3 linked regions of the Styela clava genome follow. The protein of the gene in region 3 purifies or fractionates together with the protein of the main gene of each other region. This does not show direct contact. Links are inferred from orthologs where the notes say so. Each region holds a gene or a part of one and is shown on either strand. Other genes may lie near its edges. The genes, in order: neuroguidin-like, nucleolar protein 10-like and protein AATF-like.

Region 1 (9,804 bases), on a different chromosome or scaffold from region 3:
TCTCAACTTTCTACAACTCCAAATTTAAATACTTTGACTTCTGTTGATTATGACCCAATTTAAAATATATTCCACAATCAAAAACAATATTATAATATGTCTCAATAAGCATGGTGAATTTTTTTTAGCCATCCCTAGATCAATATATCGTAAAATAAGGCCCAATGACCAACAAAATTGTTGATATAAAGTAGACGATCAAGGGATAGAATAAAACTATTCCAATATGAGATTTCAAGATGATTACTTCACATTCAGAATTTTTTTTTTATATTTAAGCACAAAAATGGCAATTATGCATTTAAAATTATCATGCATATTATTCAATATACAATATGATTAAAAATAATTGGGTGGATTTTACACCAATAAGGTAATTACTCGCAGTATTGAATACCCACCCAAATAATTCAAAAACCCAACATGATTATATTCTCCAGCCCTTAGTTAGTCATCAAAACCATCAAACTCGATTTTTACGCCCAATAGCAAATAATATACCAAATGAAGGCCATTAATATGGCCATAAATACAGAAAGGCACTAACTAAAATGGATCAATCTAATATTTTTTTTTATTCAACATTATATATATCCTTCCATCACGAACAAGGCTCTGTACAAGCCATTAATTTCCTACTCAATTTATTATGCACTGGGTGAGTAAGTATGACATTTGAACCCGTGATTTTCAACCTTTTATGATTAGATTATGCTAAAGTCCAATGCTTTAACCACTAGGGCTAGGCCATCGCGACCCGTTGTAATGAAGATCAGTCCGTTGAAAATATAAAACAGTGAAACATGATTAAATGCTTCTTAGATAGCCAACTTTCATTTCATGGTGACTTGAATTATTATGTGCTATGAGAACTTTTGCGATTTCTAGAATTTTAAAATATATGCTTGAATTTATATACTCCTACTCCGGTTTAATGGTATTCAAATAATTCAATATCAATGAGGCTTTGGTTTATGACCATCAACATAAAAATTCCGTGTGGCTGATGGCAATTGAACTTCAATTCCATTTATTTCTTTAGAAAGTATTATTTGGCATGAAAGTCTAGAATTTTCCTGAAGAAATGGTGCAAGGTCTAACATGTCCTCTTCTTCCTCTGTTGGTTCTTCCAACATATCATAATACTTATCCTTGACATAAACATGGCATGTGCAACATGCCAGCGATGCCTCACATGCCCCTTCAACCTCCAAATCATGCCTCTGGGCTAAATACATGACATTGTCACCAACTTTACCATCAATGACATGGGTTTCACCTTCACGGTCTATATATGTGATTTGAACAGTTTCTGGAGATGATTCTTCTCTTCCTCCTTCATGTTCTTGAGTTGCAGTTGATGAATAATCTCTTTCATTTGTTCCACAAAAGTTTAAGTTAGATTGAGAACGGCAGGATTTATTAATATTCGAAAAAGATAGTTTTTTGCTAAAGTACATTGTTTTTGAATCTGATTTCATTGCACTTGAATTCGTTAAAGTCCTGTTACACCATGACCGCAAGGCCCGTGCTGTTGTTCGTAATCCAAGCATTTGGTGTTACTTTAGATAAAAACTCACATACATTACAAATTAATTAGTGAAATAGCAAAACCACTAAACGAAAAAAAAAAATAATTTGATAACATTCATGATTGTGGAAATATCGATATTGAAGTGGTGAGTCAAAAACACAAGACAGGAATTGAATCTAAAGTAGATTCGAATAAATTTGTATATTGTAAGTGGAATTCAATTTAAACAAAAAGAATTTCTCCAATGATGCTTTAAAACAGTGGTTCTCAAGCTTTTTAAGCTGGTCCTCTTATTAGAATTCATCAAGTCTCGCACCCCACCTCAAAAATAACTACCGGTAACAATAAGTTACAATTGACAGATAGTAAGGCGAAAATATGTTTTATTCAAAAAACATGTTGAAAATACGTGAACATACGGAAATATCCAAAATGAAGAAATCAAATACCCAAAATAAGGTGGACAAGATCTAACAAATATTTTAATTTTTATTTAGCTTCACGCCCCCTCAAAAAATTGTCTATGCACTCCTTGTGGGGTGCCTCACAGTTTGAGAACCACTGCTTTAAAATAAACATCAGTTGAAAAGTTTAGGTCATAATTTAAAAATCTGCAGTGCAGGTTTCTGGGCATTCTTCATTTAAGTTTTATTGAACAATTGATTATTAACAGACACAAGGTTGGCACGATAATTCCAAATAACAAACTTTCTATGAATTCTAAGTCTCTAAGACTATAACTAAAAACCTGGAAATGACAAATCAACATCATGAAGCAATGTTTCGAATATGATTTTTCCTATTTTCAAATTAAATTCAGAACATTGAATGCTACAAGACAGAAACCCTGTAAGAAATAATGATGAAAAAGACCGCTCACTGTATATCTGAGTTTTTTCGCTGGTATTATTAAAATTGGAAAATATGCCACCCAAGAATTATCATCTAAATTCATTTTTGTCATAATCCTAAATTTACTTTCTAAATTTTTTCCATTTTTTTGATCCATTATATTTTCCAGTACTTTTCCTTTTATTGTTATTATTTTTTATCTGACGTCCCTCAAGAACACCAATATCGCCAAACTTTGTGATTGTGTCAAGCTCTGACCGTCTCATTAGCTGTCTTTCAGCGTTCTTTTGTTTCTTTGTTAGATTAATCCTGATGAGATTTGCTTCTTCATAAGTTGTTCTTTCTGCTCTTTCTTTTTGAACCCGCTTTCTCCCTGCTGAATACTCTGATATTTCAAAAGGAGCATCTGAAGTTTCTTGTGCGAGATCCATGATGATGGAAGACCGCTTGAGAGCACGCTCTCTTGATCGACGGTCTTCTTGCTCGCTTTTTCCATCTTCTACATCATAATGTGAAGCTGCAATTCGTGGAGGAACATATTTCTTAGGTTCTTGTTCATCATCTGAATTACCACTTTCATCGTTATCAATTTTGCTTTCTAAATTATCAATATTAGGTTTCAATGACAGTGGATCATTCAATAAATTTTGGGTCGATTGCTGAAGCAGTTTGTCAATTTGGTATTTAATTTTGTGTTCTAATGGATTTAACTTTTCAAGCACAGTCCTGTTTTCAACCAAGCGATTTTTCGCATGACAGTCTGCAATATTTTCTCCCTGAATCTTCATTTTTGTGACAAATACGAGATCTATGATATAACTCAATAATGAATGATATTTTACATCTAGTAATGATACTCCTCCCTCAGTTGGCAACTCATTTTCATCAAGTCTTTGTAACAAAGTATCCACGAATTCTGTCATTGATTGGGCTTCTGTTGATAACATTTTAAGTAGATCCTCCAATGCTGGTACATCCTTGGCTATTAGCTCACTAGAGAGTTTGTCTATATTATCCATGATTGCGGGAGAAGTTGTACGTTAGTCTATGCCCATGCAAGATTTTTATTTATATATTATTACAGTATTATCGTGCCTATAGGATATTTTCAAAAATAGCATTGCTTTAAAACCATGAAAATATGAAGTTAGAAAAGTATCAATCGGTCCAGCAGTCAGTAGACTTTAAGGATTAAAAAATATACGGTACCACATACCAAATCGCAAGCTATGAGTAATTTTGTTAGCGTAAGAGGTTTTTTCATAATATAAATTAAATTCTATAGGACAATTAATACTTTTACGAAAAATCTACATAACCCCAAGATCACAGTCAGATGCATCTACAGATCTACCTAACATATTTCAGCAGAGTATTTTTGTATCGACCAACCTAGAGGCTGACAGTTGGAGTCATGAGGGCTTTTTTAATCTGCAATTTTGCAGAAAGCTGCGCAAAGCGCTTTAAGTGTTTTACGTTATCAGTTAGAAATGTAGAATTAATTTTGATGTAAATGCAATAAGATAGTGGTTAAAAAACGGGTGGCAATGAGTGAATGAGCAAATGAGCAATAAGTGAATGAGGGTGAATGCGACCATTATCACATCAGAGCACCAGAAGTCACCCCAGTCCACATTCATCCTGCGGTCCCAGACTGGATTCCATGGCAGGTGCACGCCCGGGGGCGCTAGCGCTCCACAAATATGCACGCGAGCTAATTCCATTTTGCACGCCGAAAATTTGCAATTGCTCACAAATGTAAATCGGTTTAAATGGTCTTTAAATCAATAATCCAGTAATATGAAGATATCAAAAAATTATAACTCCACAATTGTCGACTAATACTAGCTTGCAAGATTAGGCCTGATCGAGAAATGCGAACCAAAAAAGACCATATCGTGTTGAATGATAGGAATCCCGTGAGAATAGTTATAGGCGAAAAGATCGCCTCCTCACCGACGCTGGCCAGTTACAGCTCTGTTTCAGCAGAATTTTTTATTTCTAAAAACTTTTTAGTTCCTGATCAAGCATATTCATTGTGTACAGCGGATTTCTATACGAAAATTCGAGTGGCTCTGGCTGATAACCATCTAATTATATTTACACATATAAAAATTTCTAATAGTTGATAATTATAATATTTATCCTTTTGCATCCTATAATGTTTTTTAATACTAAATTTGACGACAGTGATACATCAAAAAATGCTGACCTAACTCTGATTGGCCTTGGGGTTGTAGGTCAAAATAATTGCATTTAATGAAGTGGTAGCAATTGGTATTAATACACAACATAGTGAAATTCATTTTCAAATTTGACAAACTTGGTCAATTTTTTAACCTATTTTTTAACCATTAATTCTACGTAAATACACTCCCAAAATTTTTGACAAAGTATGTCCATTTTGCTCTGATTCAACGTATTTTTTATCCAATAGTTTTACGCGGATGTACTGAGCAGTACCGGTATCCAAAGTCGCACAAACACTCTCAAAACTAGCGACAAACTGTAGAAATAATGTTTGGGGGTCAAAGGTCAGATGTCCATTTTTGCAATGATTCAACGTATTTTTATCCAATACCGGTAAGTTTACGCGGATGTATTGAGAGGTATCTAATGTCGAAGTCAGTTGCAAACGGGCGCAGTTGTTTTGCACACCGTGAGCTATAATTGCATGCCAGGAATTCCTATTTGCACGCGGGAATTTCTGACTGCACGCCCGATTTCTCATTCAAAAAGGCCATGAAATCCAGACTGGCTGCGGTCAACTGGTTAACCAAACTATTTTACTCACTTTATACCGTTATAAACGTTATTCCATGAAAACTTGGTTGCTCCGATAATAGACTATATAGACCATCAGACCATAGATGATATAGACCAGGGGTGGGAAACCCCTGGCACGCGTGCCAAGATTGGCACACGAGCCCATTTATTCGGCACGCGAGCGAGGCCTCGGAAACGAGATCATTCTCCTTTAGATAAAAAGTTTTAAGACTATGAATTATCTGATGAAAATAGGTGTTCGTTTGTTCATTTTCGAATGTTAACAATCCGGTATTTATTTAAACTCTTTTTGTCCTTTCATGACATATGGCTACAAAGAATAAATTGTGACGTAACAAATGATGGAGCTCTTGCGAAATTTGGTCGAGAATTCATTTGGCATTCACTCAGCATTCATTTGGCTACACTCTTACATAATATAGACCATCTGTGCCACCATTTTTTGTCATTTCTGCTTGATTTAAAAATGGAACAGCCCACGTTGGTTATAGTCACTTGCTAACTTACTGTTCTAAAATGATTTCAAAAGAAATATAAGCGATTAGGGAAGGTAACAAGAGAGAAATGCACAAAACGAACTATTGCTTGCATGATTGGGATGCCGTTCCCGAAAATTTACGGGGCCTTAAAAACTTTGCAACTGCATTACTCTACAATTCTACATATTTTCATCTACATAATTATGCTTGTTAATCTCTGTTCTCAGTTATGAACTTCATAAGTCTCGTAATAGGAGTAACCTGTAAGATGAAACCAGTACCGATAGTCCGTGTATTTATTTTAAAGTTAGAAAATACAAACCCAATATAAAATATCTATCAGCGTTAATGCAGCAGCAAAGGTCTCACTGATATTGAATAAAAAAAGTAATCAAGTCTATTTGTCAGACTGATATTTTCCCAAATAGTGAACCTGTCTGTACATGTTTAAAAGGTTTATTATTTTGTATGTTTGCTTTGAAAGTAGCAAAGGTACCGGTACCGGTATGTTTTTAATTTTGGTCGGCACGCGGAAGAATTTTGTCCTTAAATTTATCTGATTTTGGCACGCGAGCCGAAACTATCCCAGGCATGTTCAATACCAAGCACAGACGAGTTATAACCGAGTATAGTCTAACAAAAACGAGTGTGGGCTAGCGTCGCCGTCACACCAAAGTGACTACCGGTATACCGTATACGTATACCGTACCGGTAGTCACTTTCAGACTTTGGGTCACACGAGACGCGAGTCAGCGAATGCTGGAGTGAGTGTGGGACCAAAGTTACCCCAGCCCACACTCGCTCAGCCCACACTCAGCCTGACGTCAAGGGGTTAACCAACTATTTTACTGACTTTATAAACGTAATTACATAAAAACTTGGTGACTCTGACAATATAGAGACCATATCTGATATACACAACGCAAATACAATACCAAGCAAGGCCCAGTTACCGGTACCCCTCGCATGGCCTGACAAAAACGAGTGTGGGCCAGCGTCACACGAGTGTGGGCTAACGTCACACGAGTGTGGGCTGGCATCCTACGAGTGTGGGCTAGCGTCACACGAGTGTGGGCTGACGTTCTGACAATGTTTCACCGTAAGTTAAGGCATCCTAAACGTTCACAGATTACTAAATTACATATATCCATGTTTAACTCAGCGCCAGAACCTCTCAAAGTCCGGCAATTGATGGCACAAAATAGCCACAATTGCCGGGAAAATAAATCAAAATCAGCTGAACAATGATATCTCTAATCACTGTTGCCAGATATATAGGTGGACAAGCATGAATTCACAGGAAGGTTTCACAACAAAAAAAAAATTATATCTAAGCGAAATACCAAACCTATTCATTTCCATCAATAAGAATGAGATATGAACAAATCGAATCTGATTTGCACAAATACATCTTTTAAAATAAAGATTGAACAAGCAAATTCAAAAGCAAATTAAGTAACATTTACCCAAAGAGTTACATTGTCTTGATGGCTTTGAAGTCTGATTTCGGCACTTCTAATACTTTGTACGCCATGAAATCGACTTATTACATTATATATCCAATTATCCAACAAATAACGAAAAATTTAAAAATTCTACCGGGGGGAAAGACTTTAAAATAAAAAAAGAATGTACCTATGTATAAAGATAATTCTATTTCCCGACAATGGTATTCTATGACAAAATGCAACAGAGAATTGAAACTTTTCTATTAATTTGTTTAATATATTATATAGTGAATTATCTTACAAATACTAAAAAATAAAAAAAAATTACCTGGGGGAAAGACTTTAAAATAAAACCGGAATCTACCTATATCTGACGATAATCATAATTCCCGATAATAGTAATTTATGACAAAATGCAACAAGAAATTGAAATTTTTCTATTTGTTTGTACATCACGAAATTTGCTTATTATATTATATAATGAATTATCTTACAAATATCGAATATTGAAAAAATTCTACCGGGGGGAAAGACTTTAAAATAAAACCGGAATCTACCTATGTCTAACGATAATCATATTTCCCGATTATGGTATTTTATGACAAAATGCAACAAGGAATTGAAACTTTTCTATTTGTTTGTACATCACGAAATTTGCTTACTATATTATATAGTGAATTATCTTTCACATATTGAAAAATAAAAAAATTCTACCGGGGAGAAAGACTTTAAAATAAAACCGGAATCTATCTATGTCTAACGATAATCATATTTCCCGATAATTGTATTTTATGACAAAATGTAACAAGGAATTGAAACTTTTCTATTTGTTTGTACATCACCAAATTTGCTTATTATATTATATAATGAATTATCTTACAAATATCAAATATTGAAAAAATTATAGCGGGGGGAAAGACTTTAAAATAAAACCGGAATCTACCTATGTCTAACGATAATCACAATTCCCGATAATGGTATTTTATGACAAAATGCAACAAGGAATTGAAACTTTTCTATCAATTTGTACATCACGAAATTTGCCTATTATATGAAATAGTGAATAATCTTATAAATACTGAAAAATAAAAAAATTCTACCGGGGGGAAAGACTTTCAAATAAAACCGAAATCTACTTATGTCCAACGATAATTCTATTTCCCGACAATGGTATTTTATTACAAAATGCAACAAGGAATTGAATCTTTTCTATCAATTTGTACATCACGAAATTTGCCTATTATATAAAATAGTAACTCATCTTATAAATACTGAAAAATAAAAAAATTCTACCGGGGGGAAAGACTTTCAAATAAAACCGAAATCTACTTATGTCCAACGATAATTCTATTTCCCGACAATGGTATTTTATTACAAAATGCAACAAGGAATTGAATCTTTTCTATTAATTTGTACATCACGAAATTTGCCTATTATATACAATAGTAACTCATCTTATAAATACTGAAAAATAAAAAAATTCTACCGGGGGGAAAGACTTTAAAATAAAACCGGAATCTACCTATGTCTAACGATAATCATAATTCCCGATAATGGTATTTTATGACAAAATGCAACAAGGAATTGAAACTTTTCTATCAATTTGTACATCACGAAAATTGCTTATTATCTTACATAGTGAATTATCTTACAAATATTAAAAAATTCTACCGGGGGGAAAGACTTCAAAATAATACCGGAATCTACCTATGTCTAACGATAATCATATTTCCCGATAATGGTATTTTATGACAAAATGTAACAAGGAATTGAAACTTTTTTATTTGTTTGTACATCACCAAATTTGCTTATTATATTATATAATGAATTATCTTACAAATATCAAATATTGAAAAAATTCTACCGGGGGGAAAGACTTTAAAATAAAACCGGAATCTATCTATGTCTAACGATAATCATATTTCCCGATAATTGTATTTTATGACAAAATGTAACAAGGAATTGAAACTTTTCTATTTGTTTGTACATCACCAAATTTGCTTATTATATTATATAATGAATTATCTTACAAATATCAAATATTGAAAAAATTCTACCGGGGGGAAAGACTTTAAAATAAAACCGGAATCTACCTATGTCTAACGATAATCACAATTCCCGATAATGGTATTTTATGACAAAATGCAACAAGGAACAAACCATAGGATCATTTTCAATTTACAATTAAAATTTAACGTGGAACACTATTAACGCGAAATATTGATAATGGTTGGGTGTGCTAATTTTGACTTTAATTTGAAAGGCTTTCCCGACGGTAGAATTTTTTTATTTTTCAATATTTTTTAGATGAAATACTATGTAATATGAATATTAAATTTTTTGAGGAACAAACCATAAAATCATTTTCAATTCACAATTAAAATTTGACTTAGAACACCATTACCGTGAAATATTGATAACGGTCGAGTATGCTAATTTTGACTTTAATTTTAAAGTCTTTCCCGACGGTAAAATTTTTTTATTTTTCAATATATTTTAAATGAAATACTATGTAATATGACTATCAAATTTTTTGAGGAACAAACCATAGGATCATTTTCAATTTACAATTAAAATTTGACGTGGAACACCTTTACCGCGAATGTTGATAACGGTTGAGTGTGCTAATTTTGACTTTAATTTTAAATTCTTTCCCGACGGTAGAATTTTTTTATTTTCTAATATTTTTGAGATGAATTACAAT
Region 2 (10,673 bases), on a different chromosome or scaffold from region 3:
ATGGCCAATTTTTATCCAATCCAATAATTATAGCCGTAGGGACTATTTTACATGATTACCTTTTGTTTTCTTCAGCAGCAGACATTGCGCAATCAAGAATACCAACTCTTTGTCGTGATCTGGGATCCCAGCATTCAATTTTCCCATCAGATGTACCAACGGCAAGTAAATGATGGTGATCATTTATATCACATACATTGAGCTCACTGAAATGTAAAGAATTATATTTTTCTACACTTTGGCATTGCAATACAGATACTAATTGTGTAAGACGTAACTCACTAGAGCTCAAATTATGTTATGATTCTTGAATTTGAATCATATGAAAGAGTATTAAGTTGAAGGAATATACATGCAGGATGGTTCATGCATCTGCTTGTAAGGTACTGTTTGCTCAATACAATGATATCTCTGTAGTCGAAAGACTCAACACTTGAACAATGCGGTAGTCGACCAAAAAATTTGAGTCGAGAATGCTGCGTTACTCGAATGGACAATTCGAAGCTCAAACACCTGAGCCGAGCAAGGTGAGGTGACGCCCCCGAACCGCGCATTTCAGCAGTCTCTTGGCCATTCAACGAGCATCATTTTAAGTAAAAACGTTAGCGGGATGACACAATCAAGAAATTTTTATTATATAGTGCTTTTTGCCATTGATCATGGCTCCAAAGAAAAGTAGTGATAAAGGGAAGGAGAAGAGGAAACAGTGAGAACAACTATCGAGTTGAAAGTAAAGCCTTACTTACAGTATGGTATGGCAAAGTCTACCATTTCCACATTATTGAAAAATGAGGAATGACAGAGAAAAATAATGTTGTGCAGGGAGTGACAGCAATTAATAAGCAAATCCTCAAATAATTGAGGAAATGGAAAATGGCTGCTCATCTTTATCATACTCAGTGATATTTAGGTACACGTTTTATTAATATTTTAGGCATTTTGGAATGCGCAAGACCGATCAAAAAAATTAACATCGTTTCTTATGGCAAAAAAGTTCAAAGATTATGGCAAAACTCGAACACCAATCCCGAACGAATTATGTTCAACTACGGAGGTATCACAGTATGTATATCCATGTATCTCGATCATAAATTCATAACAAATATTTTTGTACGACAATAGACGAATGTGTAATATTTACTAATTTGCAGGGCTGCATCATTTTATTTTTTCTTGTAAAATTTGTAAATTAAATGGATTTTTCACAACTTACAGAGCATTCGTCTTGAATGATTGATAATATCTTCCAAGATCCAAATTAAGTCTGTAAATTTCAGGTCTGAAAAAAAATGTATTTATTAAACGACAACTAAATGAGTAGAGAAGCGATATTCATATTTTTTTTCATCCACATCTTCTCCAAACAAGGCACTAGACCAGTACTTTTGCTTCAAATTGTTCTCAAAGGTAGAGATATGACACAAACACAATATAAAATTTATATCCGATAACGAAGAAATTTATTGTCAACGAGGATATATTTACAAAAATGCCTAATTATGAATGTATCCCATTTATTCTCAACTTATTACCAAACAAATTTTAATTTAACATTTAACCTACCCTGTGCCAACTAAATACAAATCGCAATTTCCAGGATAATATTTCATGTGCCGGCCAAACTTTGGCATTCTTACTCTGTACCACCTTCCTTCTTGTGAGTGGAATTCCACATAACGGTCATTCAATAACATAACAATCTAAATTTAAAAACAATTTTAATCAAAATGGTATGATAAAGCTAATAGTTTAGATACTTTACTAAATAGCCTAATAGATTCTGATCAAAGAAATTCGTAATTTGAAAACTCTAAGACAAAACTAATTAAAAAGGATGATATTTTCGTTGCAGTAAGATTTCTTAGAATACAATAATTCATATGAATTGTGTTGGTCCTGGTGATTTTTTTTATTTGATATAAGTTTGCATAAAGTACTGACATGAACAAATATATCACGTATATATCAAGTAAATCTTAGTTGAATTTGACTCGAAGCTCAAAAGTTCTCCAAGTCACAGTGAAACCCAGAAGACAGATTCCCACAATTATCACGGCAGAAAATGTGGTGTGTAGTTTAATATAGCATAAAGTTAGTAATGTAGTTGGTATTTCTCCAATCTGTGAGACAATTTTTTCGCCCATACATCATTCTAAGTTTCTTTGTAACACCCCACTGTTATCATAGTTATCAGTTCTATTTGCGAGTTTCCATTTACGGTATATTACCAATTGGATATAAATCAAAGAACAGAAGAATAATAAAGCTTATAACAAAATCGCTCAATTCTTGAAAAACCACTTATAGTCGGATAAAAATTTTATCGCATGTCAATTTAATGAGCAAAGTTATATTCATATCAAATACCAATAGGCCATATGAATCAATATGCTTGGTACAGGCATGAGCACATCTACCCATGTCCTATATGTGCCGTTAGGATCAACTTTCATCTCTCAAAAATTATCAAAACCATATGCAAATGTATATAAATTTGAATGACAATTAAATTTGGATACATATTATGCTTCATAATGCCAGTTGCTTGTTAATCAATCGAAGACAATTTCTTTAATTCTATAAAAGTATATTCGAATAAAAAGTTAAAGCGGTATTTAAAAAAAAAATGACAAAATAACTTACTTACTTTCGAGTAATCTTCTGACAAAACCTCAAATGAAACAACTGAAAAAAAAATTCGATAAATCAGAAAAATACTTTCATATAGACGGAGAGAAATATTATTTAAAAATTACCTTCAGCATCAAGGCATCTTTCAAATTTCAGGGAAAGTTGATTTACATCAAAGCAACGAATCCTTGGCTTGTAGGTTCCTTGAAAGCAAAAGGAGGTTTTGTTTGTTTCATTAAAATATCAGTATATCACAGACAGACTTACAGACAGACAGACAGACATACAGAATTTTTGTAAATTCGAAGTCGCAATTATAGATAGATGGAACTTAGACCAGCGGTTCTCAACCTTATTCTTTTATGGCCCACTTTCATTGCACAAAAATCATGTGACCATTACCTTTCTCACGCAAGGGAAAAACTAAAAGAAAAAAATCTTTTCGCAATGATGGACACCTCCACTTTATTAATTAAAATTTAAATTACCACCCAGTGCCAAAAAGCATAATTCATTGCTAAAGCAATCGAAGATTGACTAATTTATCAATAACTGAAAATTTTTAAAAGGTTTGTGGCCCGCCTGGAAAAGTTTCTGTGGCCCAGAAGTGGGCCATGTCCCACTGGTTGAGAACTGGTGTCTTAAATCCAATATCAACTGAATTGAAAGCAACTTCCGGTGCTTATTAACTGTTCATGTTACTAATCAGATTAATATATAAAAGCAAGCTGAGAACTCGACAGCTTTTTAATATATTTTCTAATATTATATTATACTTCAAAAAGGCATCTTCAAACCAGGATGGAATTTTATTGTTTTTGGAGAGAAAATTTTATACAATCTATTTTATTTTTTCGGGGGGAAATTTACATATACCGGTAGTCGTAGTCCTAATTATATTTTCCCTTATAATTCACCATAGTACTGCCTGCTTATTTATACACAGATATACTATTCAAAATGTATGAAAGCTAGAGTGTGGGTCGCTCCGTCATTGTATATGAAATAAAAACTGGAAACAAGAAGTAGACTATGCATAGTGAGGAGGGAATGAAAAGTTAATTAAGGAAGGAAAGTCGAACAAAAGGTTTGGAACCACTGATTTAGTTAGATTTACATTTTCCATTACTTTTCCAAATAATATTAGCTTTACAGTAGCCAATGGTCCGTGCCAAATTAAATATTTCAGATATTTATCAACAAAATCACTTGATTAGTAATTTCCTTTTTATAGAATTTCATCTTTTTCTTGGCTTTCTAAGCTATTATATACAGTAGATTTTGTAAATATGTTTGGAAACATAACGTTCTACTAGGAAAACAGAATTTCTCACCTGCAACAAAGACATAATTTCCATCTCTTGTCATTTGCACTGATGTACAGACAGTTGGCATCGTAAAATCTTGAATGAGTTCGATTCTTCTACGTAAACTGACATCTTTTTTGAGAAGAGCTCGCTTTTTTTGTTGAGAAAGAAACTAAGTGAAGACAGAATCGGGAAGATGATTATTAATTAATAATACCAACATGTAGATTAGGACACAAAAGAAAACCTGATCCAATAAGTTGTTGTAAATCTTGAACTGCTCCCAATCGAAGCAATTTTACTACAAGCAATTTTACACAGCTGTGTGTACTGCAATACTTGCATCTCTAATTTGTTAATTTATATAAAATGACCAATGTTTGAACACATCCACTAAAAAAATTAAACATTCTATATACAAGACAATAAATCTTGTGTCAATTCATTAATAAAACCAATATCAAAGTTGAATGGTGCACTTACTTGTGGAAGTGAATTTCCGCTGCTCAAATTATATATCTTGATACTGTTTGGGCTAGTCACCTGCATGCCACAGCTTTTGTTTTGTATTACCTTGTCAGAATTTCAAAGAACTTGGAAACTAAGAATATAAATCTTGAATCTGTAAAATACACCAAAACACTAAAAACTTTTCTTGTTAAATTACTAGCCATAGTTCAATTAGTCTGTAGATATGGGATTGGGGGCGGCAAGAAAGGTACCAGTAGGTACTTATAGAAATCAAATATATCTTTCATAAGACTTGTATAACATAAAAATGATTGCCATTACAAACTGGGCATTGATCTCAAAATGGAGGACAAGTCAAGTCAAGTTGAGTAAAGAATGCAGTGCATAACCAAAGCTCACATTGACAAAAAGAACTGATTTGTATAAATTAGCAATATTGTAATAACTCCCAATGAACCTTCATCGTGTATTGCAGTATTTGCCAATGCGAGGAATTACTGTATTAGAAAACAATGACATATAACAAATTGCATTTTACTGGGAAATGTGAAAATTATCATTGAATCTCAAATCAAATCTCACTGTCAGTTTTTCAAGTCTATGTCTCAGTAGAGTCGCTCTATTACAATGAGATAAGTAGTAGGCTAGTAGTAGTAGTAGTATTTTATTTCGTCAACAATGACAAATAGTATACATACAACATTTCAAAATTATTTTCAAGGCATAAGTGACTATGAGTTCTAACACAGAAACAATGTCCAGTAGACTGGTAGAGCAAAACCAGGTAACCAATACTGCAGTTCAAATATCTATAATATGTTACAGTGTTGTGTACAACAGAAATAAGAGCTGAAGTACCAGAGCAGGACCTGGATATCAGGATGTTTTATGATGTAACTGCAGTTACACACTTCCGGTCTACAATGACAGGATGAGAATGAAAGTACTGCAGTAGGGGACAGTTCTCTGATTTCAAGATGTCCCGACATTTGTTTCGATAAAACAAACATTCTATTTGTCTCTGAAATGAGGGCATCTGGAACTATGGAAGATGCACCAGATCGCATCGTAAATCATTAAGACTGAATAAATCTTAACAAATGTGACCAAAATTGAGCGTTTTTGCTATAAACTCGGGAAAGCTAGAATAAAAAAATTTTTCTTCAATTGATTACCGGAAAATCGTATATGGCAGTACAACACACTATACAGATCAAGCAGCATTGTCTCGTTTCAGAGAAACCCATTTTACTGATGATCAGACACCCCTTCTTTGGGAGAGGTCTGGACAGGACATTGTTGTCCCTCAATATCGGTACAAATACAGTATAATGAGGTTGCGCAAAATACAACAAAAAAGCGCAACCTAAAAATGTCATCATTGAATTCCTCGGGAAAAAATAATCCGATTTACCAAAGGAAAAAATTTTTACCGTGGCATTCGAGAGTTTTTAGAAAAAAAACGGCAATTTTGGTCGCGTGATGGCCACGGTCAATTTAGATTATTATTGAGACAAGCATGGCGCGATATGACTCATCTGCCGTCGTGCCAGATACTCCTCGTTTGTGAGACACATGAGTGCTTGTTTATTGAACCAAATAGAGGGAAATTCTTGGAATTTGGATAGCGTGCCGTACTGGAAGGGGTCTATTACGTCACTGTGACATAATTTTTGAATGGCGTGGTCAGGTGGGGGTTGGGATTGACAGGTGAACATTTTTTTTCCAAGCCCACTAGAAGTACGTTAGGTACAAAACAATCGTACATGAGACCCGTGCCGTGCCCTCAGCCCCACTACTGCACTAGAATAGGATTTACATGTTTATCCCGGGGAAGAGAAAAGCCGATAAAACGGCTTAATCATATGGCGAATCACGGCCTCTCGTCCGGTTACCAGTCCAGGTCAGCGGTCAGGTACGGTATGGGATTAGTTAGCCAGTTATTTGTTTTCAGGAGCATGGACTTGATGGTGGAGGAAGCCGTAACTGACCAGCGGTTACCTGAACCACTCTACGGCGGCGAGGAGTCCAGCAATCCTCTCGCACATGATCATCCCTGCATGGGATTCGAACCTGCGATCCCACGAAGGGTAATCAGAGATGCGGTGGCGAGCGTACCGGTACCGGTATCCCCAACGTTTACCAGGCTGTTGTAGTGCACCAGTTCTAAATAAGATTATACTCTGATGGTACCAATGCAATCATACCAAGATACTACTAGCATATAAATACAACCGACAGTACAGTATTAACGGTACAGTTACCGGTAACTTGTAGAGTCAGAGGGACAACACTAAAAGGCTGAAGGAAGAAACGGATGAAGTGGAGGGAAAACGGAAGTTGAAGTGTTCCCAAAGGTGAAAAATTAAAAAACACTAAAAGGCTGAACACTAAAAGGAAGAAGTGGATGAAATTTCTTCCGACGGGTAGTTAGGTGGCTGAAGTCACTAAAAAGCTGAACACTAAAAAGAAGAGGTGGATGAAATTTCTTCCGACGAATAATGAGGTGGTCGAAGTCACTAAAAAGCTGAACTCTAAAAGGAAGAAGTGGATGAAATTTTTTCCGACGAATAATGAGGTGGTCGAAGTCACTAAAAAGCTGAACTCTAAAAGGAAGAAGTGGATGAAATTTTTTCCGATGAATAATGAGGTGGTTGAAGTCACTAAAAAGCTGAACACTAAAAGGGAAGAAGTGGATGAAATTTCTTTCGACGAATAATGAGGTGGTTGAAGTCACTAAAAAGCTGAACACTAAAAGGAAGAAGTGGATGAAATTTCTTCCGACGAATAATGAGGTGGTTGAAGTCACTAAAAAGCTGAACACTAAAAAGAAGAAGTGAATGAAATTTTTTCCGACGAATAATAAGGTGATTGACGTCACTAAAAAGCTGAACACTAAAAGGAAGAAGTGGATGAAATTTTTTCCGACGAATAATGAGGTGGTCGAAGTCACTAAAAAGCTGAACACTAAAAGGAAGAAGTGAATGAAATTTCTTCCGACGAATAATGAGGTGGTTGAAGTCACTAAAAAGCTGAACACTAAAAGGAAGAAGTGGACGAAATTTCTTCCGACGAATAATGAGGTGGTTGAAGTCACTAAAAAGATGAACAGTAAAAGAAAGAAGTGAATGAAATTTCTTCCGGCGAATAATAAGGTGGTTAAAGTCACTAAAAAGAGGAACACTAAAAGGAAGAAGTGGATGAAATTTCTTCCGACGGATAGTGAGGAATACTTGAAAATTTAATATATTAGGAATTGGGTAATTTAATGTTTGTTCTGTTCGTATTTATAAGACAATGTCCTCGTGGATTCGTTTTTTGTTAATTTTTTTATATGTTATGCTCAGTTCGAGCCTGGCGAATTGAAGGCCATGACATTCTCGTTATATTCTTTTTAATTTTGATGTAATGTGCAAACAAATTAATATATATATATTTTCATATCTAGCTGTTCTAGATCAACAAACCTTGTAATTTATAATATGTTTGTGGCCCAACTCAAAATGCCTCTGAGGCTTACCAGTGGCCCATGGCCAGTGTTCCCTCTAAGGTGTGCGCGTGTGCGCGCGCACACAGCTTTCAGAGGCTGCGCACACGCATAGATTTACTGCTCACAGACGTATTTTGATGTAATGTAGCAATGTTCTCGGTTGGCAGGTTGAGAAAGTTTGTTGTTGGCCCACCCATTACCCAGTTAGAACGCCATAATTTCTTCATTGGTTTTTGCACAAATATTAGTCATTTCCAAAAAAGTGCGCACACACCAAAATTTCTGCGCACACATGCTACAAAAATTAAAGGGAACATTGCCCATGGCCCATTGGTTGAGAACCAGTGGTCTAACAGGACTTCGATTTGACTAATACATCATTATTCAAAGTCTTCGTGCGTGAACTGCTTGCAAAATTTATAAAAACAGATATTAAGTTCAAGGAATGAAATACGGAATCAAAAATAAATTATATTCGGGCACAATATCACGGCAATCTATGTACATAGATGTGTGGTCAACTGCGCGATTATTATTAATTTTTGATTCCTATTTTCGTATTTACAAAATACAACGGCGATCCATGGACTTAAAATGTGTGGTAAACTGCCCGATTATAATTAATTCTTGATACATATTTTCGTATTTATAAAATAATAAAAGATATATATGCGGACATTGAAGTGCCCGAATATAAAAAAAATCCATTCGTATTTACGTACTCACGAAAAAATTGTCGCAAGTCAGAAATATAATTTATACTTTATCCCGCTTTTTGCAAATAATTTGGATAATGGTTGGTATTTAAAAGTATGGACTTTTACTAGGATGATTTTGTGTTGCGCAAAATGTTCAAATCTATGACCGATAGCACTATTTTAAATGCTTGCCGTATTAATTTAATTCTGATAACGTAACTCATGGTATATAAAAATATATCGCAGTAATCTGCAAATATGAAATGCATGGTAATATAGTCATGTTGTAGATAACAGTTATTCCATTGTTTATTGTATGCAAATTCCTTCATATACTATAGATCAGTAGTCGGCAACCACCGGGCCGCGGCCCATCGCCGGTCCGCGGAAAGGTCACTACCGGTCCGCAGAAAGGTGACATGAAAACGTACAATGCCATTGTTATCTTCATGTGAGGTTGGGTTTTTAAAATGGCAATTACAAAAACGAAAGATCGAAGTGGGTTTAACGTAAGAAATACGTTACGTGAATAGTATCACCTTCGTTTTTGAATGTATTGTCAACATACATTTTCTAACGCATATTAATTATTAGATTAGTTCGTTTGTATAAAGGTGGTCCGCCAAAATTTTGGTCAGGCTTTACCGGTCCGTTACTGAAAAAAGGTTGCCGGCCACTGCTATAGATCATTGATTTTCAAACGGCGAGAGACCTCCGGGTGTTCCGCGGAAAATTGCTTTTTTGCAGTATTATGACGTCATAACTGATATTTAACCGTCCGATGGATTTATATAAATTTCACAAAGCGCGGTTCACAACCTCTTCCAATCTTGCTATCATTTTCTACTACCTATCTTTGCGAAATGAGTTTTTTAAGCATGGCCGGTCTAGGGCTGTGCAAAATATTCGAATAGCGAATACAATATTAAAATATTCGAATGCCATTTTACTATTCGTATGTACAATACCACATAATCTGTACCGCTTTGCTTGGGCACGGAATTCACGCCGGTAAATCGATCGCTTGGATTACGCGAGAATTCACCCTCGGCCTCCACTGTCATTTTGCAAAAAGCGTGCCGACACTAGTCCGTAAATGTAGAAACGTCAACCCAAATAAGATATCTAAAATAAAGTTACCAGCCTCCGCATGCATGACCCGAATACAAAATCATTTTCGGAAATTAAGAGTTACAAAGACGTTTTCGATACATGGTGAAAACGGCAATTTTAGGTCGTCAGAAAATTCGAGTTATATAATTGGTACTCCTGTAATATGCGAACCAAGACGTTGGACACCAGGACGTAGTATGTGTACCAGGTTAGGCCAAAATTTTGTTCAAATTTTCCTCATTTTAGTTCTATTACGAGTTCGGGGACTAGCCAGGTGACTCCTATAGTATTCGCACCTGAAGTTATGGCCTGACCCTAACTTGGTACACATACTACGTTCGTGTGTCCGCCATCTTGGTTCACATACCACGGGAGTACCATATAAATAGCATAGATTTGAAAATGGCGAGTCAGAGTTTTGAAAAGCCGGTATAAAAACTTATAACCAGATAAGAAATGACAGGCCATACTTTCTTTTAATGGACTTTCTAATAGCTCGGCGTGTATTTTTAGTGATCCATTTCATCCTTGACCAAATAATGTTTCAAAAATGTGAACATTATACTCGACCATGGATGGAGTCATCATCGGAATTGACTACATTTGTTGCATTTTGAAGCTTTTCTTGCAGTATTAATTAGGGCGTGGCATCATCAAAATCGTCAAGTGGAGTGTTGAATTTGCAAATTCCGTAAATAAAATTATGAATTTCCCGGTAACGATATTAGCTATGATGTTGGTCGGGGTATTGATTTGTTGTAAAATAAATGGTGACTTGAGGTGATTAATTATAATTATCGTCTTCCCTTCTACTAGGTACGAAAAGCACTTGGGCACAAAATTGTTTACAATTTTTTGGTATCAGGTCGCGTATGTAAAATATCGTTCAAGAGTGCTGCCAAACGACAACGTAGAAATGCCTTTATTTCAGATTTTAAATCAACATTCTTTATTCACGCAATC
Region 3 (11,098 bases):
CTAATATCTGAATACAGTAAGTTATTGTAAGTCATTATTTACACTTAGTGTTACTAGAAAAATTAGGGTCTCATGTAGGGTGGTGTAGCCAATCTGCGGACGATTTCATTCAAACCGCTATAAAACAAAAACCAATATTTCTAACCCGTTAATTTTTTCACCGTAAGTGCATTGGCATTTATTCTACACGCTGAACTTCGAATTAACTTTCTACGACCAGGGGTTAAAGCTATACAAACCACCAAAGTACGACACTCTGAAGACGTATTTGCGACCGAACGACCAGTGTGCGATCACGGATTTCAAGCCTTGAACATCGTTTCTGCTGTGTCGAGACTGGGGCATACGCAGCCATGCGTGAAAAAATGGGCTTCTAATTGCATTTCTGACCGTTATATATTTTAAGAACACGGTTATTTCAAACAAAATTCTTCAAATTATAAACAAAGCACCGCATCACAACAATCAAACAGACAAAAACACGGTGGTCGCAAATTAGTTGACAAAGATATTATTGACGTATTGGAAATGCGCACCCCCCTACTCCCCCTCCTTTGAAGGTAGAAACGCGAAACTTTAAAGATGGTTGAAAGAAACACAACTCTACCCACCTGCCAAGTTTCATCTCTTTATCTCTTATATTTGTATGGATTTTCAAGCTTTTTTGAGGGAACAATGGGTAGTTGGCGACATGGTAAAATGGTCCGTTTTTTTTCTTCGGTCAGGTTTTCGGTCGTAACTTTTTTATTTGTGGCCGCATTTTAGTGTCTTTTCGCAGAGCTACGAGGGATAAGTGGACGATAACGTGTGAGAAATATCGTCGCGGTTCGTTAATTTTTTCGGCATTAATTTAATCGATGAAGTTGATGGTCGCAAAGTGGGTAAGCCACCCTACTTTCCTACCTAACGTACTTCTAGTAGGCGTAGCATAACAATTTTTTCACGTGTCAATCCTGAGGTGACTTCAGGACATATTTGATATTCCTAAACTTTTTCTCGTAAAATCTAACCTATCTATTCGATGATGCCCCAATAGCAAACTCTATTTCTGATTTAAACTAAATTCAGAAATTATTAACCAAATGCTGAAATGGCGTTATTTATTTTGAGTTATACAGATATCCTATTGGCAGATTGGTGAACTGTTTATCCGCCATTTAACATTGAGACATTTGATTCAATGATGTTACTTCAGGCCATAGGAGTGCAGTCGGTCATAATTAAAAAATGTTGCCCCTTCTCCACATTCATGGATATTCATTTTGTGCTGTCATATCATAAACATTGTGAAACTAATTGAGCAAATTTCAAACGGCATCAGGGATGGCCAATACCGAATAATTTACTATTTCGAATACATTCAAAATTATTATTTAAGTTTCGAATACTTCGAAAATAAATGCAAGCTTATCTTTATGGCGGAATTAGCATACAATAAACAATGGAATTACCGTTACCTACAAGCTGGCTACCAGAAAATTTATATCCGCCGATTGCCGTGATATTTTATAGTAGTATGCCCTTTTTATTTTCGTAAGTACGAGAGTGCGAATCAAAATTAATTATAATAGGGCAGTTTACCATTAGTTTTGTGTTTTTGATTGCTGTGGTATTTTGAAACATTTTATTCTTCGTAAGACGAGGCATTGATGAGTTAGGCTACATCGAACAAAAGTAAATTAATACGAAGGCATTTTAAATGCTGTTATCAGTCATGGATTTACGGTAAATACTTTGCACAACCGATAATTCCATACTTTTAACAATCATTATCAAAACTATTTGCCGAAAGTGGGTAAAGGTATAAATTATTTTTTTGTGAGTACGAAAGTGTGAATCAAAAATTAATTATAATCCAGCATTTTACCACACATTATATTTCTACAGATACCGCGTTATTTTAAAGTTGTAATGCTTTTGTATTTTGTAATTATAATCAAGCAGTTACCACACATTTTATGTTCACAGATGGTCGCCGTATCTTAGAGTAGTAATGCATTAATTTATTCGCGAGTCTGCAAAACTATGTGTTACGTTAAAAACAATTAAATTAATACAATAACAATAAGTCATTTTAAATGCTGTTGTCGGTCATGGATTTGAATATTTTGCAACATATAATCATCTTAGTTAAAAGTCCATACTTTCAACTATCATTATCAAAATTATTATTTTTCCGTGAGTACGAATTAATAAATCAAAGTTAATTCTAATCGGGCAGTCAACCACACATTTTATGTCCACAGATTGCCGTGGTATTTTGGAGTTGTATCAATATTTGTTTTTCGTAAGTACTGTAATAGGTTTAAAAAATTAATTATAATTGGCCAGTGCACCACACCATTCAATGCTGCAGATTGTCGGTAATACTTTTATTTTTTCGTTAGTTGACGCAACCACGAGTTAGGTTAATTATTAAACAAAATTAAATTAATACGACAAGGCATTTTAAATGCTGTTATTGTTCATGAATTTGAATATTTTGTCGCAACGGAAAATCATCATAATAAAAAGTCGATACTTTTGACTATCATTATCAAAATACGGTATTTGCCAAAAGTGTGAAAATGTTTAAAGGATTTTTTCCAATAAATCAACTCGTTTTTTAAGACATGAGACAATTTATTGGGTGTTGTAATTTGTAACAAAGTGCACGACTTTATTTAACTTATTTATTATCTGACTATTTGTATTTATGTGACTTCCTTGACTTAATACAAATGAATCCGTAAATTAGAAGCATTGCAAGGGGATGGCGATAGTGCCAATCTTGCGACCATGCAAATGTGTCGCAACAATAAGGGCGCACGCTCGCACAGAAGATAATGAACAATCAAAGTGTCGATACTATTTCACCACCATTGCATTACGCGACAAAGCGTGGAAATCGGCATATACAAGTTTAAGCCATCCATCTTCATTTAAACTGGAATCTCTTTCAGTTATAGGATAGGATAGAATTTACCTATTTATCCCGGGGGAGAGGAAAGCCGATAAGAAGGCTTATTCATATGGCGAACCACGGCCTCTCGTCCGGTTACCATTCCAAGTCGGGTATGGTATGGGATTAGTTATATTGTTTGTTTTCGGAAGCATGGACTTGGTGGTGGAGGAAGCCGTAACCGACCAGCGGTTACGTGAACCACCCAACGACGGCGAGAAGTCCAGCAATCCTCTCGCACATAACCATCCCTGCATGGGATTCGAACCTGCGAACCCACGCAGAGTAATTAGAGGTGCGGTGGCGAGCGTATTCCTAACGCTTAGCCCGTTGAGCCACAACGCCGCGCCGTTATGTCAGTGACAGTTCAATACTCAGCCATTCATTTTTTTTTTTATATTTTATAAATACTGTTGAACTAATTTTATCAATAAAGCATTATGGCAAATGAAGAATTTTCTAATCCTCTGCCCCCTGAGCATTATCATGAGACTGATGGCAATGTTAATGAACAACCTCTAACCAATGCAGACTTTCGAAAATTTTTGACGACCCCTAAAGCTGGTGGTGAAAAAACTCACGATGATCGAGCAAAACGAGTCTCAGCGTCCCAATCAGAATTTGATTCAGAAGATCATGAATCGGCTGCTGAAAAAAGAAGAAAAAAGAAAAGTTTGTATGCAAAACTTAAAAAGCAAGAAATGGAAAGGCAGGCTGAACTTCAAAAGAAATATAGAGATCGAGCAAAAGAGAGGAGAGAAGGTAAAGGAGATTATGCTGAATCTGATCTTATCAATACAACTGCTAATTACAAAACCGTTGGCCCAAGTGCTGAAGCGGACCGAACTTCCGCTGAGAAAAGAAGACAAGTCATCCAAGAATCAAAATATCTTGGAGGTGACATGGCTCATACTCACTTGGTAAAAGGTCTCGATTTCGCTCTTTTACAAAAGGTTCGAGCTGAGATATCGACAAAAGAACGAGAGGACGAAGAACTTGATAAAGTTTTATCTGAAGACATAGAAAACACGAAAGAAGAACAACAGCAGCAACAGAAAGAAGTGGTTACGTTCAAAACAAAAATGGCAAAAAACATACACAGACTTGTCTTCCAGCCTCAAATGAAACTAAGAAATGAATTGTTTTTGCCGGGACGAATGGCGTACGTTTTTCAAGTCGATGATGAGTTTGCAGACACAGATATTCCCACTACTCTGCTTCGTAGTAAAGCAGACTGCCCAACACTCGAGTCTCAAACAACATTATCAACTAACGATATTGTTATTAATAAACTGACTCAGATATTGTCATATTTACGTCAAGGTGCTCGCGAAAAGCATAGAAAGAAGAAAGATAGAAAGATAAAGACTGAAAATGATAGGCCACATAAAAGACCCATTGAAGCAGACATGGGCATATTTGATGATATTGGTGAATATGTTCCTACTCTAAAAAAGAACAGAAGCAAGCCTGCAAAAAATGCTCATTCTTATTTTGAGAAACCTAAAATGGAAGAAGAAATGGTTGAATCAAAACAAGCTGTTGCTGCTTCAGTGAAAAATTTTGTAAAAAATGTCAATGAAAAATATGCAGGGTCGTCACAACCAGACCAAACCAAAGAAACTAAAAAGCAAAAGAAAGAGTCTGGCAAAGGCAATCCACTCATTGGCACAGCGGGGGCATCTGACAGTTACATGGAATGCTATCCATCAGCGCAATACAATTTATCAGGCGTAGGAGACGATAGTGATGATGAAGCAGATTACAGTAAAATGGATCAAGGTAGTAAGAAAGGTCCAGTTGGAAGATGGGACTTTGATACTCAAGAAGAATATAGTAATTACATGTCTCAGAAAGAAGCAATGCCTAAAGCTGCCTTCCAGTATGGAATAAAAATGACAGGAGGTCGAAAAACAAGACGAACCAAGGAGCAGAATGAAAAACAAAAATTGAATCGCGAACTGATGCAAATCAATCAAATTATTGAAAAGCGAAAGGGTGGAGATTCGAATTATAAGAAATATTAACTATATATTATCAAGTTATAAGCATTACTTTGATCATAAAAAAATTCAAGGTTGAACTTGTGAGAATTACTGTATTTGCCAATGTTTTCATCATGTTGAATGTCTGTTTGTTAAAAGTGATATTCTCATATCATTATTTTGTAAATTGATTTGTGTATATATAAATGGATAGACAAGTATAGAATGTGTAATTTGTCGTAACCGTATTATTTTAATGAGTGCATATTTTGGAATTTTTGCCTTTGAATGGAGTTTCTTATATTTGATTATGATTGTGGTTTGTATCATTTAGTCACATCTTTGCCACAAACTGGTACTGTAGTTCAAATGGATGCTCTTCTGTAACTGATCTCATAATTCTGATATTTAGGTTTGAATTTTCTGAATGTTACAATAAAAAGTTGTTGAATTAATGATTGTGACGATAAAATCCAATAAAGTACTTACATACCCACTTTTCTCAAGAGTTTTTGTTCTTTTCTCCTAAAATTCATTAAAATGCATGGAGACTGCCACTATCTGAAATTTTACATTGGGCATTCATAAATGTTTGTTAATAATGTCAATCGAAGGGTATCGACCTTTATCAGTTTATTGAATGTTTGCTTTTTTTATTTAGAAAACCAAGTACAAAATCAAGTTTAAAGTATACATAACAATTTTAAATGTCATCATGACATCTTTAGCTGAACAACTTGCTAGGCTTTTCGATCCGAGTGTGAAGAGCATTGACCCAGAAGATGATATTTATGAAGGTACTTGTGATATAACACTCAATGCATTACTGTTCACTTTATGCACATTTTTTTGCTAAAACTGTGATGCACTTCTACAGTTGTGGTTGTGCTATGGCACCTAAAGACTTAAATAGACCTGACCATTTAGGGGTGTTTTTTGGCTTGCTACTGAGTTGCTGGGTACCTACATACTCATAATATTCTTTGACTGAACGCTATAACCCAGGGGGGCACAACCTGCAGCCGTACGGCCGCATGCGGCTTTCGCAGGTAAAATGTGCAGCTGTGCTGGTGTGTTACTGAAAAATAATTTATGTTTTATGTTGGCGCTTGAGTGTTACGAAAAATCATATCATTACTTGTGTCTGTAATGGAAATAAATTATCAGTATTATAAAAAAGTAACAGCTCTGAATATTCTTTCATATCTCTAAAGCGGGATATCGTTAACAGAGAAACGGTTCTTTAATTCCAGATGAAATTAGATTTTTTTGGCGTTTATGTAAAGAAGTTATTGTTCGAAACCTGATCGCGATGACGCCACTCGTTGAAAAAGTCAGCTTTACAAAAATGTAATGCCCCCGTCAAACGAGAAAAGGTTGTGCACCCCTGCTGTAACCAGTGACCCAGTATTATTATTATTACTCAAACATTGTTTGTGAATATTGTGGTTGGTATAAATTGAATTGTTTTCTCTTCAACTACTGAATCACTGTCACATTTCAATTATTCGGAGATTGAAACTTCTCCCTAAAAGGCTTTCAATTTTGTTTTGAAGATTTTTTTGGTTTAGAAAAATTGTATCCTTGATCATAGACTCCTTGTTCTTGAATTTCTTGAATTAAAATATATATAGATCATCTGTTTTGTTTGATATTTGCATTTCTACTTTATATAATGCAGTAATGCCAGAAACTAATAACTGTATGTGCTACCCAGTTTTGAAATGACTGTACTTTATGGGTTTAGCATATCTGACCGAAATGTTACTCCATGATTGAAGTGACGAACTAAGTAAAACGATATATTACGACTATCTATACCTAATGAAAATTGTTGTATTTTTACATGGTAGAATTTTTGTTTAGAAACCAGAGCTAAAGTTGTAGAGAAAGATGATTTGAATAGTGATGCTGAAGATGGAACAGTTATTCAACATGTTCCTGGAATTGGCCGAAGAAAAATGCAGTCGCTCGAAGGCATGGGAGAGCTATATAGGGGTAAAGTTGTATCAAGGAATCAAACATCAGATGGTGATGGAAGTGAGTCTGGCAATGAAGATAACATTGAACTGGAGGTAAATATTGTTGCTATCATGAAGTGCATTAAGGTATTTAGATTACATTTCCGTTTTATTCTGTATCGTCAAGAATAGTGAGAAAAATCATGTACGATAGTAGAATTCTTTTGTAATTCGAATATCATGACCTCCAAATATCGTTTTTAGTCTTTATGAGAATATCAAATATCTTTGCTGTCGAGGTGTTTTTGACTGAAAATATTTTCCAGTTAGTGCATATCATAGACGAGATAGTCTGTGCAAGTGTGCAGCCACAGCAAGAATTAGGATAAAAATTGCGCTATAATTGTTTTTCATCCTCTGTTTCGATCCTGTCCGAGTATAAGGAAAAAATTTTGCATTTCTTGAACTTCACTATGTCTAAAAAAGCATTTATTTATTTATTAGTATCTCTACCTGATTTTATCGTTATCCTCGTGTCATTGTTGATAATATAGTTTGGTAGTGTAGGTTGGCTGTATTTATTCATGTGCTAGGACAAAAGTTTATCATTTGTCAAGTTTGGGTGATGAAAAATGTCTTTTTTAGAATGTGTTTTATATAATTGCAATTTATTTATAGAATGGGAATGCTGAAGATGAAAATATTGACAGTGGAGATGATCAAACTGATGAAGATATTGAGAGGTATATTCTTTTACTTCTATTATGTTGTTTTCTATATCTATTGACATCCTGTATCCAAATTCTTGATTTGAATATGTTTTTCACTACTAATGCAGAGAAATGAATGGTGATACTAGCTATAATAGTGAAGTTGGAGACATTATGCTAGATGAAGATGATGGAATGGATGAAGAAATTGATTCTGATGAAGCCGATGGAGATGGCGATGACAGTTTAAAAATATTTCAAAATAGGAAAAAGGCTGATCCATTATTAAAATCGAGAGCTACTAGAAATCAATTTTGTGAGATTACTTACGTTTCTTTTATTAATTAAAATTTGTTAGTTTTATCTGCCAATCTGGTTAATTCTAATATTCATCTAATGTTGGACAATATTTTTGATGGGAATGACAAATTGATTGGATTATGTAATTGTTTGGTCATACTTATATCATTAGAGCGAAGCCCTATGATGGCTAGAGTTTTGGGCTCAACTATATTGGCATTAAAGATCCATGGTTCGAACCTATGATCACCACCTCACTCAGGGTGTAATAAGGTGAATGATTGAGGTCCTTAAGAAAAAAGCAGCTGTTTACATATTGGTGTAATAGAGACTTGTATAGAGCTTTGTTTAAAGTGAAAGACGTCATATAACGAAAACGATACCTGAATGTATTGTACAATACTTATCTACGGTATATTCGCTAAAATTTCATTTGCTGCACAATGTAGTAGGGCCATAACTTTTCTGTTTGCTTACCTCACATTTTGTATAAGAGCACACTTTTTACTGTTAGTTCAAAGTTATCGATGCTCTTTGTCGAGGATAAACATAAACAAATGATAGATGTGAACAGACAGATATTGACTATTTGACTTTGCGAATAAATTCAATTTGTTTTTTTGAGAATTTTTTTTATATTTTTTAGGTTTGTGGGAAAATATGCTTGAAGCTCGAATCAAATTTCAGAAGATACTTACAATATCTAACAGATTACCTCAATATGATAAGATGGAACTATTTAAAACTGAATTACCAGCTTCTCTTTCATCTGCGGATAAAATTTTGTCTAATCTTTTATACAAATTGTTAGAATTAGAAAGGAGACTTCTCACTCAAAATCCTGAAACTCAGTCAATAGCAGATTCTAAAATCAGGTATGTTTATTGTCAAAAACCCTAAATTGAATACATTCATGGTACCTAAATCTCAGTGATACGTTAGCTTTAGTATGTGAAATTGTTAGTTTTTTTCAATAGTATTAAATAATGAATTTTATTGAAGTATCTCCAAGTTTATCGTCATCAAAATCTGAAGTTTTTGCACTGGTATATTGAAATTTTAATCGTCTGGATCTGCTGTTGCAGCAGTAACATTATGCGATCATATTGCTCTATTTATTTTATAATGCTTGGGACTTGAATGACACTACAAAATCACAGTGCACATTGAAGAGATATATCTTGTGTAATGTTCCCATTGACTGACACACATCAATAGAAATGTTGTGGGTAGTCATCTCTAAATTTATTGTTATTTTTTATGCATAGTAATAACAAGCGGAAAAGTACAACGTCGATGGAAGAGGTGAATGATATGATCCAAGACAGATTTACTTCATATAAAACTCATAGGAATAAAGTACTGAAGTTGTGGTATGATAAAACAAGATTAACAGCGACATCAAAATCAAAGGTATACATACGTAAATCAGTATTCGTCATATTTGTAGAGTTAAGAATATCATAATGTTTTACTTTACCTCTTTCATAACAATTATGACTCTTTATATTTCAGTCATTCTCAAATTTTGAACGGTCGACAGTTTCTCAGATAGAAGATATATTACAAGACCGTGAAAGATTAATCAAGCGGACACAATTGAAAAGAACGAACTATCGTATACTGGGAACGACTCAGTCTAATAAACTAGAGGTCTGTGAAATATTGTGGTTTAGTATGTTAAATTTTTGGTCCAGAATTTGGTTTGAGATGTTGGTATAAGGAGTTATGTGTGAAAGGATTCCTAAGCTGGTTACGTCTTGACTCCTTCAGCATCCGTATCCATCAATCTCGAATAATTACGGGTAACTCAGCTATTTCCAAAGCTGATCTGGACTGGTGATTGGGCATTAATCTTTTTTGGTTCGCAACATGGATATGCTGTCTTATTGAATTTCTACCTTGGAATAAAAATGGAAAGTCCTAATAAATATAATTCACAATATATTTGTTTTTCAAAGACAATTTATTTTAGTATCATGTTGCCTTAAGATCAAAGAAGGCACGAATAATTGAACAGAGTTGTGTGCCAAGCTTCAGTCCTTTACTCATATCAGGTCTATGTTATTGACTTCACCCATCCCTGTCAACTGTTGCTTTTTGCCCTTTAGCTTTTGTTTTCAATCAATAGACACCTGTTGAAGATGCCGACAACCACAGTAGTCATTTAAAAGAATATCTGCCTGAAATCTATGATGACGATGACTTTTATCACCAGTTACTTCGACAACTCATTGAACAAAAATCATCAGGACCTGGAGGTTCATCAGATCCAGTTGAACTTACGAGGTTTGTACATATTTGTAGCAATATCATATATAAAAATTTAATTGAATTGAAAATTAATTTTTATTTTTCATAAAATTTGATCATGCATTGAAGGTATCTGATGAATTTTATGAAAATGATTCAATAGTTTTAGTGAATGTCTATTCATGAATATTGCTTTCCTAAATTATTAAAAATAAATAAAATATTTTTGTGTTGTGGTGGTAAATTGTCTTGTCAAAGTGATCACTAAAGATTTTTTTTTTGAATTCCAATTTGAAATAATTTTCAAGGCAATGGTTAAAAGTACCATGAATATTGCTTTCCTAAATTATAAAAAATAAATGAAATATTTTTGTGTTGTGGTGGTAAATTGTCTTGTCAAAGTGATCACTAAAGATTTTTATGAATTCCAATTTGAAATAATTTTCAAGGCAATGGTTAAAAGTACAAAGATTACGGAGTAAAGCAAAGAAAAATGTTGACACAAAAGCAAGTAAAGGAAGAAAAATAAGGTATGAACTTGAGTATTTATTTCAAATTTTTGACTTCTCATTTATCTATCACAGTTTTTGGATTAATTACTTGAATTATGCAATTTGATTATGAGATTTGAGGACCCAATGCCAATGTTTTGAAGAGTTTTATTTGGAGTAGTCTGCTAGAAACTAGGGACACATTGAAAACGTTTTCTGGAGTGGAATTTAATTGATAATAAATTGACTCGCTTGATATACTATAAAAGTATTTACTTTTTTCCAGTGTTCTGTATTCTAAATCGCAATACAGATGATTATGAGACCATAATATGAATATTTCAATATATGAAATATATAATAATTCAATATAATATTAATATTTTAATGCAACCTTTTGACGGGTTTTAACACACACATGGAACCTAAAAAATGATAATAATACATGATATTTCAA

Evidence for each region.
Region 1: the proteins of protein AATF-like (region 3) and neuroguidin-like purify together in Homo sapiens (affinity purification with mass spectrometry; 3 studies listed by BioGRID and IntAct, with this or other methods). This does not show direct contact. The link is inferred for Styela clava from reciprocal best matches to the Homo sapiens genes AATF and NGDN.
Region 2: the proteins of protein AATF-like (region 3) and nucleolar protein 10-like purify together in Homo sapiens (affinity purification with mass spectrometry; 4 studies listed by BioGRID and IntAct, counting the BioPlex papers as one, with this or other methods). This does not show direct contact. The link is inferred for Styela clava from reciprocal best matches to the Homo sapiens genes AATF and NOL10.

The regions. Positions count from the first base shown.
Region 1 is NC_135251.1:17,728,404-17,738,207, reverse strand, and holds neuroguidin-like, read right to left. Parts: upstream 3,568-9,804; 5' UTR 3,406-3,567; coding exon 2,509-3,405; 3' UTR 2,507-2,508; downstream 1-2,506. Other genes in the region: 2Fe-2S ferredoxin-like, read right to left, coding at 957-1,553. UniProt on the Homo sapiens protein: Part of the small subunit (SSU) processome, first precursor of the small eukaryotic ribosomal subunit.
Region 2 is NC_135264.1:4,567,591-4,578,263, forward strand, and holds the start of nucleolar protein 10-like, read right to left. Parts: upstream 4,559-10,673; 5' UTR 4,488-4,558; coding exon 4,422-4,487; intron 4,111-4,421; coding exon 3,966-4,110; intron 2,835-3,965; coding exon 2,757-2,834; intron 2,686-2,756; coding exon 2,648-2,685; intron 1,701-2,647; coding exon 1,564-1,700; intron 1,280-1,563; coding exon 1,214-1,279; intron 207-1,213; coding exon 60-206; intron 1-59.
Region 3 is NC_135257.1:13,444,607-13,455,704, reverse strand, and holds the start of protein AATF-like, read left to right. Parts: upstream 1-5,587; 5' UTR 5,588-5,641; coding exon 5,642-5,723; intron 5,724-6,792; coding exon 6,793-7,001; intron 7,002-7,565; coding exon 7,566-7,630; intron 7,631-7,725; coding exon 7,726-7,913; intron 7,914-8,543; coding exon 8,544-8,772; intron 8,773-9,165; coding exon 9,166-9,310; intron 9,311-9,412; coding exon 9,413-9,550; intron 9,551-10,028; coding exon 10,029-10,186; intron 10,187-10,599; coding exon 10,600-10,680; intron 10,681-11,098. Other genes in the region: protein Red-like, read left to right, coding at 3,382-4,968. UniProt on the Homo sapiens protein: Part of the small subunit (SSU) processome, first precursor of the small eukaryotic ribosomal subunit.